2 linked regions of the Ovis aries genome follow. The protein of the gene in region 1 interacts with the protein of each later gene in a biochemical or structural test. Links are inferred from orthologs where the notes say so. Each region holds a gene or a part of one and is shown on either strand. Other genes may lie near its edges.

The links.
Region 2: the proteins of NHERF2 (region 1) and PODXL form a complex in vitro, tested with the Homo sapiens proteins (3 studies listed by BioGRID and IntAct, with this or other methods). The link is inferred for Ovis aries from reciprocal best matches to the Homo sapiens genes NHERF2 and PODXL.

The regions. Positions count from the first base shown.
Region 1 is NC_056077.1:2,104,942-2,110,269, reverse strand, and holds part of NHERF2 (Na(+)/H(+) exchange regulatory cofactor NHE-RF2), read right to left. Parts: intron 3,143-5,328; coding exon 2,963-3,142; intron 1,557-2,962; coding exon 1,403-1,556; intron 1,325-1,402; coding exon 1,281-1,324; intron 931-1,280; coding exon 868-930; intron 635-867; coding exon 476-634; 3' UTR 1-475.
Region 2 is NC_056057.1:96,948,191-96,954,056, reverse strand, and holds the start of PODXL (podocalyxin), read left to right. Parts: upstream 1-2,443; coding exon 2,444-2,461; intron 2,462-2,662; coding exon 2,663-3,320; intron 3,321-5,866. UniProt on the Homo sapiens protein: Involved in the regulation of both adhesion and cell morphology and cancer progression. Functions as an anti-adhesive molecule that maintains an open filtration pathway between neighboring foot processes in the podocyte by charge repulsion.

The DNA.
Region 1 (5,328 bases):
GGGGGTTGGGGGGGAATGGTGTGCAGAGAAAGGTTTGTTTTATTGCAAGTATTTAGAGAGCACGTCCTGAGGGGGTGGGGGCGGGGCTCTGCTATTAAGTGGAAACATATGTGGAGCTAGAGATCCTTCTGGGGAAAAAAAAAGCAAAAACACAAATTCCTGTAAGTCAGCAAGCCCAGGCAGTCAGCACGGCGGCCAGCCCGTGGGTCACCACCGCCCCTCCCCCCTGGCCCTTGCCCCCCCCCCTTTCCCCCCCCTGCCCCTCACTGTCTCTCTGGGTCTCTCACATCTCGGGGGCTCCCTCTGCCCATCTTGTGGCCACACTCCCCTAACACCCTGCGGGTGGTGGTGGGACCACCCCAGCTTAGGGGTAAGGATGCCCCCTCCAGTCCACCGGGGCGTGGGGAGCTCTGGGCAGTCCGAAGGGCAAGGCCCAGGCCCGTGGGGAAGAGCCGGTGGGGAGCAGGCAGGGGGCTCAGAAGTTGCTGAAGATCTCGCGCTTCCGGTTCCAGTCCATCTGTGGTGCCCGCTTGTTGACCCTGGTGGCTCTCGCCTTCTCCTTGGCCTCAGCTGCTGTGGGGCTCAGGTGAAGGCCGCTCTCCTGAAAAGGGTCTCGCTTCCACGTGCTGCCATCCTAGGGGTGGACACGGTGGGCAGGTGGCCAGTGAGCCCTGGACCCCAGCCCCCAGGCAGGTGGCCCTCCCCAGGGAGCTGGCGCCAGAGGCCACCTGGCAGCAGGCCCAGGAAGGCTTCCTAGAGGCGGCGGCCTCACGGCTCAGGCTGACAGCTCCACAGATGCCCGCCCCCAAGGCCTCAGGCCCCCCAGCATGTGAGCAGCAGCACTGGAGGTGGAGGGGCACCCACTACCTCAGTGTCCTTGTCTAAGCCGGGCAGGTCACTTCGGGACGAGCACACGGAGCCACCATTGAGCTGGGAAACCAAGGGTAAGGTGTGGCTTCAGGGGCCCACCCAGGAGACTGTGCACACGTATGTGCACACATGGACACAAGTGTGTGCACACACGTGCACACCCCAGAGCTGCATTTACTCCTGCATCTGGCAGTGGCACTGAGCCTTGACTGCAAGCTGGCGGTGCCCGAGTGCCCTGTGGGGTGGAGTGCGGCTGGGCCCGGACAGGACCCAAGGGGCCTTAAAGCTGGGAGTGACAGGGCCGGGCTCAGTGTCACAACCATGTGACACCAGGACTGAGGTCTCAGGAGGGGCTCCCAGAAGTGCCCCTGAGGTCCCCGAGCCCACCCTGTCTGCTCCCACCCTCTCACCTGGGCCGAGCTGGTCCCGTTGGTGACCGGCGATGGCAGTGGACCTGTGGGGACAGTATGTAACTGACCACTCGGGTCCCCGATGCTTCACCCCAGCCCTGGGCCCCAAAGCAGCCGCTCACCTTCCACATGCTCCTCGGTGGGTGTGACCCGCAGCCGCTTGAAGTGTTCATCCGTCTCGGGGTCCACCACCAGCAGCTGGGCCTCGTCCTCCCGCGCCTTGATGCTGGCCACCACCTCTGCATGGCGCAGCCCCTCCACATTCTGCCCGTTCACCTGCCACCAGCACAGGGTCAGTGCTGCCTGGGGACTGGTCCCCACCAGCCCCCCAAGCCACCCGGACAGGTGTGGCATCAAATATTCATCAGTGCCGTCACCAGCTGCAGCACCAAGAAGAGCACCAGCTCAGGTTCCCGGAATCTTCCTCCTGCAGAGGACCTGGGGCCCAGGCACACAGACGTGGATAGATGCACACAGACACACCTACAGGCACGCAGGTGCAGACACACACACAGATACACGCGGACACATACAGGTGCACAGGCACGCGCACACACGGACACACCTACAGGCACGCAGGTGCAGACACACACAGATACACGCGGACACACATACGGACACACCTACAGGCACGCAGGTGCAGACACACACAGATACACACGGACACATGGACACACCTACAGGCACGCAGGTGCAGACACACAGATACACACATACAGGCGCACAGACACACACATAAACAGACACACCTACAGGCACACAGGTGCAGACACACAGAGATACACACACATACAGGCGCACAGACACACACAGATAAACGGACACACCTACAGGCACGCAGGTGCAGACACACAGATACACACAGACACATATAGGTGCACAGATGCACACGCACAGATAGATAGACACGGACACACCTACAGTCATGCAGTTGCAGACATAGATACACTCGAACATGCACAGGTGCGCGCACACACATATGGACACACCTACAGGCATGCAGGTGCAGACACACACACAGATACACACAGACACAGGCGCACAGACACAGACATACCTACAGGCATGCAGGTGCACACACACAGATAAGTACACACAGACACACAGGCCTGCAGGCGCACACACATAGATAGATACACATGGACACACCTACAGGCACACAGGTGCAAACACACAGATACACATGGACACAGGTGCACAGGCGCACATGCACACACACGGACACACCTAAGGCATGCAGGTGCAGACAGATAACACAGGAACACACCTACAGGCACGCAGGTGCAGACAGATACACAGGGACACATACAAGTGCACAGACATGCATGCACACACACAGATAGACACGGACACACCTACAGGCACATAGGTGCAGACACAGATATACACGGACACACCTACCGTCACGCAGGTGCAGATACACAAGGACACACACAGGCACACAGAGGCACATGCACACACACACATAGACACGGACACACCAGGCATGCAAGGGCAGACACACACACAGAGATAGATACACATGGACACAGCACGCAGGCACAGACACATATACACACGGACACGGATAGGCAGACACGTAGGCGTACACACACACACAGGCACAGACACACAGAGGCACGCACAGCAGGACACAGGTACACACAGGGCAGCCCGCTCCCCGCAGCCCCAGTGGCAGGTACCTCTATGAGTCGGTCCTGGGCACGGAGACCAGAGTGGGCAGCAGGGGAGCCGGGGTCCACTGAGCGGATGTACTGTCCGGGCCGGGACTTGTCGCTGTGCAGGTTAAACCCGTAGCCCTGGGGGCCCTTCCGTAGGTGGCAGAGCCTTGGGCGCAGCTCCCTCAGAGGCCCGTTGGCATCCTGCAGGCGTCGGGGACACCTGGTGAGGTTCCAGCTCTGACCTCCTCCCATCTGAGAGATGCTGACGCCCGAGGCCTCCAGCCCACACCCACCCCACACCCCGCTGGGTGCCAAGGCAGCGCTTGGCCTCATACCCCCACCTGATGGTAGCCCCTCGTCTCAGAGACCCGTCCTGGGGTGTGGGGGTGCTTAGGCCACCTACGATGATCCAACTTTGGGATCTTGGACAAAGGCTTGGTTTCCAAACCCCCAGTGGGCCTGTGATGCGATCAAAGGCCTTACAGTGGGATTGGGAGAATCCACTGGGTCGAGGATAGGGCTGGGCGCAGACCCGAGCCGAGGAGGGAGCAGGCGAGGTGAGCTGCCCCGTGTCTCTGTTCCAGGAGGGCAGCCCCGCCTGTTGTTTACTCCGAGTGTGGGTCTGCTGGGGTAGGGCTCCAGCTTTGTTTACACTCCCACAGGTCTCCCTGGGGCTGGTGGCAGCAGCTGCAGCTGTGTTTGCCTTCACATTCCAGAGCAGCTGGAGCAGCCCCCATCCCCACACGCTGGAGCCCAGTGAGCAAGCAGAGGGGCCTGCCTCCCACCTGCCCCTCTGACCCCGGGGGCTCCTGGTGCCCTGAGGGTGCCCACCCACACCCAAGGGCCCTGCCTCCGTTTACCTCTGGCATCCTGCAGTAGGGCTATGGGCCAGGGGGTGCAGGGAGCCGTGCAGGCAGGGGCCAGACCCCAGGACCCCACCGGGGCCTAAGGCAATGACCAGCGCTGAGTGGCCAGCGGCCGCGACGCTCAGTCTAACATGGCGGTGGCCGGAGGGAGCAGGCGGCCAGCAGCTCAGGTTTCCCCAGCGCTTAGGGCTCAAATGTGCGTGCAGGGGCGGGGGTGCTCACCGGGGCCTGGCCTTCCACCTCCCTGTGTGTGGCCGGGGACACTGGGCCAGGTGGGGGGCCACACTTGGGAGAGCCAGCCTCCAAGCCTCCAAGCTCACCCCAAATCCCCCAAATCTGACTGTGGCCACCCTGCCGTGGAACCAAGAGTGCCCTTCCTTACAGGATGGTACCTTGCCCCAGCATGTGGGCCTTCCTACCGGTGGGGAACACCTTCCAGTCCAGCCTGGGCCCCTCCTCCAGGGGCCCGTTCCTGATCCCCAAAGAGTCCCTGATCTCCAAAGCCCCCCAGGAACCCCTGCTGCAGGCCACCATCTGCCCCAGAAATTCCAGGGGCTGGGGCTTCTGCTCCTCCATCCTCCAGGGGATCGGCTGGGCAGACACCCAGGTTCTCCAGGACCCCACAGACTGGGCCCTCTCCAAACACAGCTGCAAGCACAGGTGTGTGGCTCTGAGGCAACTCTCAGGCTGGGGCTGTCAGACCACAGGTTCCGAGGCTGGCCAGGGCCGTGTGGGACCCTGGACGTGTGACATGACCACACCTGGTAGGTGGACGCGGGCCCAGATGGCCGAGGCACCTCACACAGTCACAGAGACCAGACATCCAAACACAGGCGTGCAAACAGGCTCCACAGACCCCTGCGGTGACCTGTGGTGTGAGAGACAGCCCTCCCCTGAGGCTCTTCCCACGCCCTCCACAATGGTTCCAGGCCGAGGTCTTTCAAGGCCCCCAAACAGGAAGCAGGACTAGGGGGCATCCGGGGCCATGAGGCCAGACTGAATGCAGTCACTTCCGGTTCGAGACCACACTGGCCATCTCCCTGGCTAGACCCAGGACAGCCATCTCCCGCCACTAACATTTGGCCCACATCCCTCGCATTAGGATCAGGGTCCAAGGAGCACCAGACTTGGCACTGGACCCTCGGGCTGGGGGGCTGCAGTGGCCGAAGAGTGAGGCCAGTGGCCTGGGCACCCAGAGGGAGGCCCCGGGAGAGGCCCAGCGCAGCAGGCTGGGAGGGGGTGCAGGCTGGCCCAGCGCATTGCTCGCATTCCTCTCTCCAGCCTGGCTCAGAGCTCTTCCTGCAGCCTCCCAGCTGGGCCCTTGGGCTTCCAGGGGCTTCCAAGCCCCAGTTCCAAACAGACTGCCCCTGAGCTGGACAAGCGCTTGACTCCCAGCCCTGCCTGTGACCAGTCCAAGAGGCTGGCATGGGGGTAACTCTTGGAGCCAGGCTCTACACCCCCCCATATGGTGACTCACCAGCCCGGGCAGAGAAAGGCCCCCATTGTTGCTCAGGGTCCAGC
Region 2 (5,866 bases), on another chromosome or scaffold:
TGAATAGTATTGAACTGATGTTAATTATTATTTTTTTGGTCATTGTGCCATGTTTTCTTCAGACGCTAATCTTAAAGGAAGCAATGTAAAGGATATTCAGACACTCTTGTACTTTCCTTGTAACTCTCTTAGTCTAAAATTATTTCAAAATAATATGTTAATAAATATAATTGTCTAAAGCAAAAAAAGAAAAACATTTGAAAGTCTCCTAGGGGAGCTAATGCATGCTACATATAACGAAAATGTAATAAATCTCAGAGGGATGATGGACTAGCATTTGAAAGTGCTTTGAGGGCTTTCCTGGAGGCTCAGTGGTAAAGAATCTGCCTGCCAATGCAAGAGACACAGGCTTGATCCCTGGTTCAGGAAGATCCCACATGCCGTGGAGCAACTGAGCCCGTGCACCACAACCGCTGAGCCTGTGCTCTGGAAGCTGAAACTCCTGAGCCCGCCTGCCGCACTAGAGCCCATGCTTCGCAATTAGAGAAGCTGCAGCAGTGAGAAGCCTGCACACACATCCCATTCTATTTATAGGGAACACACTCTGTCCTTCAACAGCTCAAGAGGAGTGCCCCCTGCCCCACTATCACAACCAGAGAAAAGCCTTCACAGCAACGAAGACCTAGCATGGTCCAAAATATAAATAAATAAATAAATAATTTTTTTTTTTTAAGTCCTTTGAGTTTTGATTTTCAGAGCCAGTAAACTAGTTGGTGGAAGGGCTATGTTAAAGGGGCCAGGTGCCTGGAGCAGTTCTGCTCACTGACCACGGGTGATGTCTCTGCCTGGCCAGCCTCCTTCCTGGAAACCCCATCTGCATAAGGTGAGGGGAGGACCCGCTGCTGCTGGCTACTGGGAACGGTCCAGGGCGTTTCTGATTTTGCCAAGTCTCTGGATACAAAGAGCTGTCGCTTTCATATGCGGGAGATGTCTGCTCTCATTTTAATTTTGCATGGTAATAGGACCAATCCCACCTCATGTGGATTTGAAGTATACACTCTCCCTTTGTACTAGAGTTAACATGCTCTTTTCTAGATTTTTGGAGCCACGGATTGAGTGCAAAATTACTGTTTAAATCAGAGAGCACACAATACACACATTTTAAAATCCCAGCTCTTTAAGCACACTGCTTGGTTTCAGAAAGAGAAACGCACACACTCTGTCTTTCCCACATGCGGCATGGAAAATGGGGCCAGAATGATCCTGCAGAAACTTCCTGAAGAAAACAGGCAGGTCAGCCATTCCCAAGCCCAGCCTGCTGCTGCAAAAAACCCTAGCCAGAGTGTCCCCGCTTCCTTCTCTGCTCCAAAGATGCCGCGCCTTTAGGGCAGCGTATGCGTGTAGCCCCCTCGAGGGGCTCGAGGAGTCCACTGGGCTGGGTCCTGGCACGGGGCTGGGCTCTGGGGGAGGAGTCCACTGGGCTGGGTCCTGGCACGGGGCTGGGCTCTGGGGACACCCCTTCTTTCCCACCCCGGACCCATCTGGCAGAAAGACTCCATTTATCAACCCAGAAGTCGCTTGAACCAAATCCTAGCGCATCCCCACCCCCTGCCCCCCAGTGAATCATCTTTCCCCTTCTGGGTCTGCTTCCCCTCCCCCCACCCCAGCCCCGGAGCCACCCGTGAGCCTCCTCCGCAGGGGATTCCAGGATCTGCATCATTCAAGCAGCTTTTGAAAATAAAAACCACCTAGCCGAGAGGGAGGTCTTTGTTCTTTCACCGGGTTTACTCGGTTTATGGAATTCAATTCCCACCCCTACCCCAGGTCTGCAAATTTCTCCTTCCAGTGCTGGGAGCGGGGCCTCTTCATTCCCGCAGACTGTGTTCCTGGCCCTGTGCTAAGCATTTTATCTTAGATAAACTTCATAGCAACCATCTGGGCTAGGTAGTGTTATCCCTGTTTTACAGATGGAAAGAGCTGAGGTACACCGAATAACGTGCCCAGGGTTTTACAGCTAATAGATGGGCATAGCTAGGTTTTGAGCTCAAGTCGGTTTTAAATCGAAGCCCTAAATTTTCATTGTTGTTCTTGATAGAGCAAGAGTAAGAATAATAGTAATACTGAGCAATTACTATTTGCCAGGCACTGCGCAAAGTATTTTCTCCAAACTACTTTCAGAAGCGGTTCTGTGTTCTGTGATCTCCAGATCGCTGAAAAAGCCTCTTTTTCAGTCAATTCCATACCTACAAAACGAAGCTGAAAACATCGCTGTTGCGAAGAATAAATGACTTAATATGTGCAAAGCCCTTAGAACACCAAGTGGCACATATGATTAATCCTTCAATATTTCGTCTTCTTTTTTGTTTGGTTTTGGATTTCTTTTCACATCACCTCCATTCACAAGTGAGGTCGGTTTAGAAAAGCTGAGCAACTAGTCCGATTGCTGGGTGCAGACCCTATGGTGCAAACCCTATAGCGCAGACCTGCTCATAAATTGTGCGCGATGCGGGTCCGCCCGCAAGTGAGTTGCACCTGGCAGGTGAGAGACGCGCTCCTCAGGCTTTGCAACAAAATGCGCTGCAGCCGGGAGGCCTGGAGCGCTCGGTGGAGAACACACAGCCTTGGGGGCCTTCTAGCTCTGGATCTGGGCGGATAGGAACTCGGCAGTGGTGGTGGTGAGGGGGGGGGTCCCGCCAGACTCGCCTCATAAGTATCGCGGGAGACACCTGCGCTCCGGGGCGGGGGGGCCTCCGGGCAGGGGGCGGTCTGGTGCCGGGAATCACCCCAGCTGCCGAGCCTTCCGGCGCTCACGCTCACATCCCCTCCTCCCCTCCGCCCCGAGCCGGGGCCGCCCGCCAGGAGCCCGGAGCCCGGAGCCCGGAGCCCGGAGCCGGGAGCCGGGAGCCGGCCGCGCTCCCCCGCCCGCCGCGCGCCAGGGCGGAGTTTCCTTCTCGGCTCATTGTTCTCCGCCCAGCGCCGCCCCGCCCGCGCGCTCCTGGGGAAGGGAAGGGGAGGGGGCGGGGGCCGGCGCGGACGGGACCGGAGTCGCCGCAGCCGCCGGCCGGGCCGCAGCCGCGCAGACACCGCCTGCGACGCAGCCGCCTGCCGCTCCTCTGCCGCCTGGCTCGGCGCCTCGGCCGGCTCTGCCGCAGCGGCCGCGAGGAGGGGCCACCGGGGCGCGACTCGGGACGCTCGGGCCACCGCCCGGCCGTCGGAGCCACCGCCAGGCCTCCCGGAGAGGCGCCCGCACGCTCCCGCCGCCCGGACCCTTGGCCAAGCCCGCAGCCACCTGCTCCGCGCCCGCGCCCAGGACACGATGCGCGCCGCGCTGGTGCTCTTGGCGTTTTTGCTGCCGCTGCCGCTGCTGCTCTCCGGTAATGGTGAGTGATGGTGGCTCGGGCTCCGCCGGGACTCCCCTTGTGCCGGTGCGCCCCCGGCCGGGCCCGCTGCTGGGAAACCCGCCCTGCCTCGTGGCGGGACCCGGGAGCAGCCCCTGCGCTCACTACTACCCGGGGCCGCACGCGGAGCGCTGACCTTGCACCAGCCAGGCCCCTTCCCACCCCAGGAGAACGCCGCAGGTGCCGGGATCCGAGCGTGGGTCGTCCGGATCTCCACGTGGGTGGAATTGCGATGGGTTCTGTTCGGGCAAACGGGCGCTCCGGCGCTGAGTGGGCTCGCGGTCCTAGAGTCGGGACTTGGGGCACCGCGAGCCTCCACGCTTCCGCTGGACCCCCAGCGTCTAATCACTTTTTTCTCCGCGTTGGAGTGGTAAGGGACGGTATTGTGTCGTCGTTAATTCCAGGCAGAGCGGCAGGCTGGGAGCTTATGAGGAAGTCCCCGAAGCAGGTGACAAACCTCCAGTAACGGCCCTCGAGGCCATGTGTTTCGCGTTCTGCCGGGAGGTTTTTCCGAGCATCGTGTGCTCATTCAGCTCACTTGAACCTGTGCTGGGGCAGGTGGAAACGGGGAGGGAGTAAGAGGATTTTCCACAATCCCAGACTCACCTGAGTGGGGCGCCTGCCTCCAGGGCACCAAGGAAACAGCTCCCTTCTCTGTGCACGGCCAGGAAGGTGAGAGTCCCTCCCAGCCCTTCGTAGAGAAAAGAATTTCTCTCTCATGAAATGGGCTTGGACTGTGCCATAGAAACATCTCCCATATTTCTTCTAAAGGTGAAAATCTGGTGGGACAGGCACTGTCCCAGAGTCCCTAGGAACAGCTAGGACTCTCGGCCCCAGGAGAGAGAAGCATTTCTTTCTTGCCCACCTGAGCAGGTGTCTGCAGGGAGAAAGAGCCCTGTTTCCATTCTAGAGTCAGAGGGGCTGTCGTGATAGCCGAGACAGAGAGGGGACCTTGCTCTTCTTGGTAGGTGCTGCCTTTGGGACTAAAGTCTTAGGGGAAGGGCAGGGTAGCATGGCAGTGCAGTCTGTTTTCTTCGTCACAGGGGACTTTGCTTGTGGGAAGGGGCAGGTGCTCAAGGAGCAAGTAGGTTTGGGCATCCTCCAGGGAGCAGCCCTGAGACTCCACAGCCTGGCCTGAAAGGGGTGAGTAGGTGAGGAGGTGACGCCTGCAGGAGGGATTCCAGTGTGAGGAACACCGCAGATTTGCACACCCTGCAGGGCTGATAAGATGCAGGAGTGGGGTGTCTCTCCTCAGTCCTGCTCTCAGGCAGATGGACCTCAGTGTGGACGTGACGCACACCCTTTCTGCCAGGAGCCTCTTAGCACCATCCAGAAGGGAGATGGGCTGTGTCAGGAAGGCTGGGGTAGTTCCCAGTGCCTCTGAGCTTCAGGAGCTGAGCTTGAAGGAGAAGGTGGAGGCTGTGGGATGAGACCCCTGGTCCTCTGTCCTCAGGAGTTACTGGGTCTGGAGCCACCCATAAAATGCGAACAGCTCCAAGCCCCACTCCTTGCTGGCTTCGAGGCTGGGACTGTCTTCCTTGGCACTTGTGCACTGCCCAGAAACCCTGTCTCTTCCAAGAAGCCCTCCTCAAGCCTAGCATGGGGCATGGAGTATGGTAGGAGCTCTATCTGTGGTAAAGAAAAGAGGAACCATAACCCTGCTTCCTCTCTCACCAGCAAATTACCTGGACTTTCTGAGCCCAGTTGTCCGGTTCCTAAAATGCTACTGTGGTATGCAGTGATAATGGGAAGTGCTTTGAAGAGTGTTAGCTGGCAAGGGAATATCACTATTAATATTATTATTGCTATGTTGAGACCAGAGAAGGCTGAAGGGTGCAGGCTTGGTGTTTAGTGGCTGTGGCAGAGTTGGGAAGATCCCCTGGAGAAGAGAATGGCAACCCACTCCAGTATTCTTGCCTGGAGAATCCCCTGGACAGAGAGAGTAGCCTGAGGGGCTATAGTCCATGGGGTCACAAAGAGTTGGACGTGACTGAGCACGCCATAGGGACCCAGTAAGGACTGCTTCATCTCTGCTCTTCTGAAGGTATGGCTGGCTGAGTTGCAGTCATCTGGGAGGGTGAACCCCCAAACTGCTGGAATCCTGTGATTTAGTTCTAAGCAAGGTTTCAAGTAGGACAAACAAATTATATCCGACAGGGCCCTGGGATCTTACCTTCTATTGTAGGTGGGTCACACAGCATCAGCAGCATCCAACCCGGTGCCGACAACCCATTAGACCCCTTTCTGGTTTGATATCCACTTGGTTGAACCATACGGCAAATTGTACCTCTGAACCTGTTTCCGAATCTGTAAGACAGAATGAAAGAGCAGAGGAACAGCTAGTGTCACTGTGACATTTCTGGGCTTTTGCCGAAAGGACAGGCTGACTGAGCACTGTCTTAAGGGTCTGATTGTGTCATTCGATGGATGAACCTTAGGCAAGGGAAAGGCAGCTAGAGGTGGTTGAAAACACTCGAACTTTGGATCAGACAGACGTACATGACTGAAGACCAGATAGTGGAACCTCT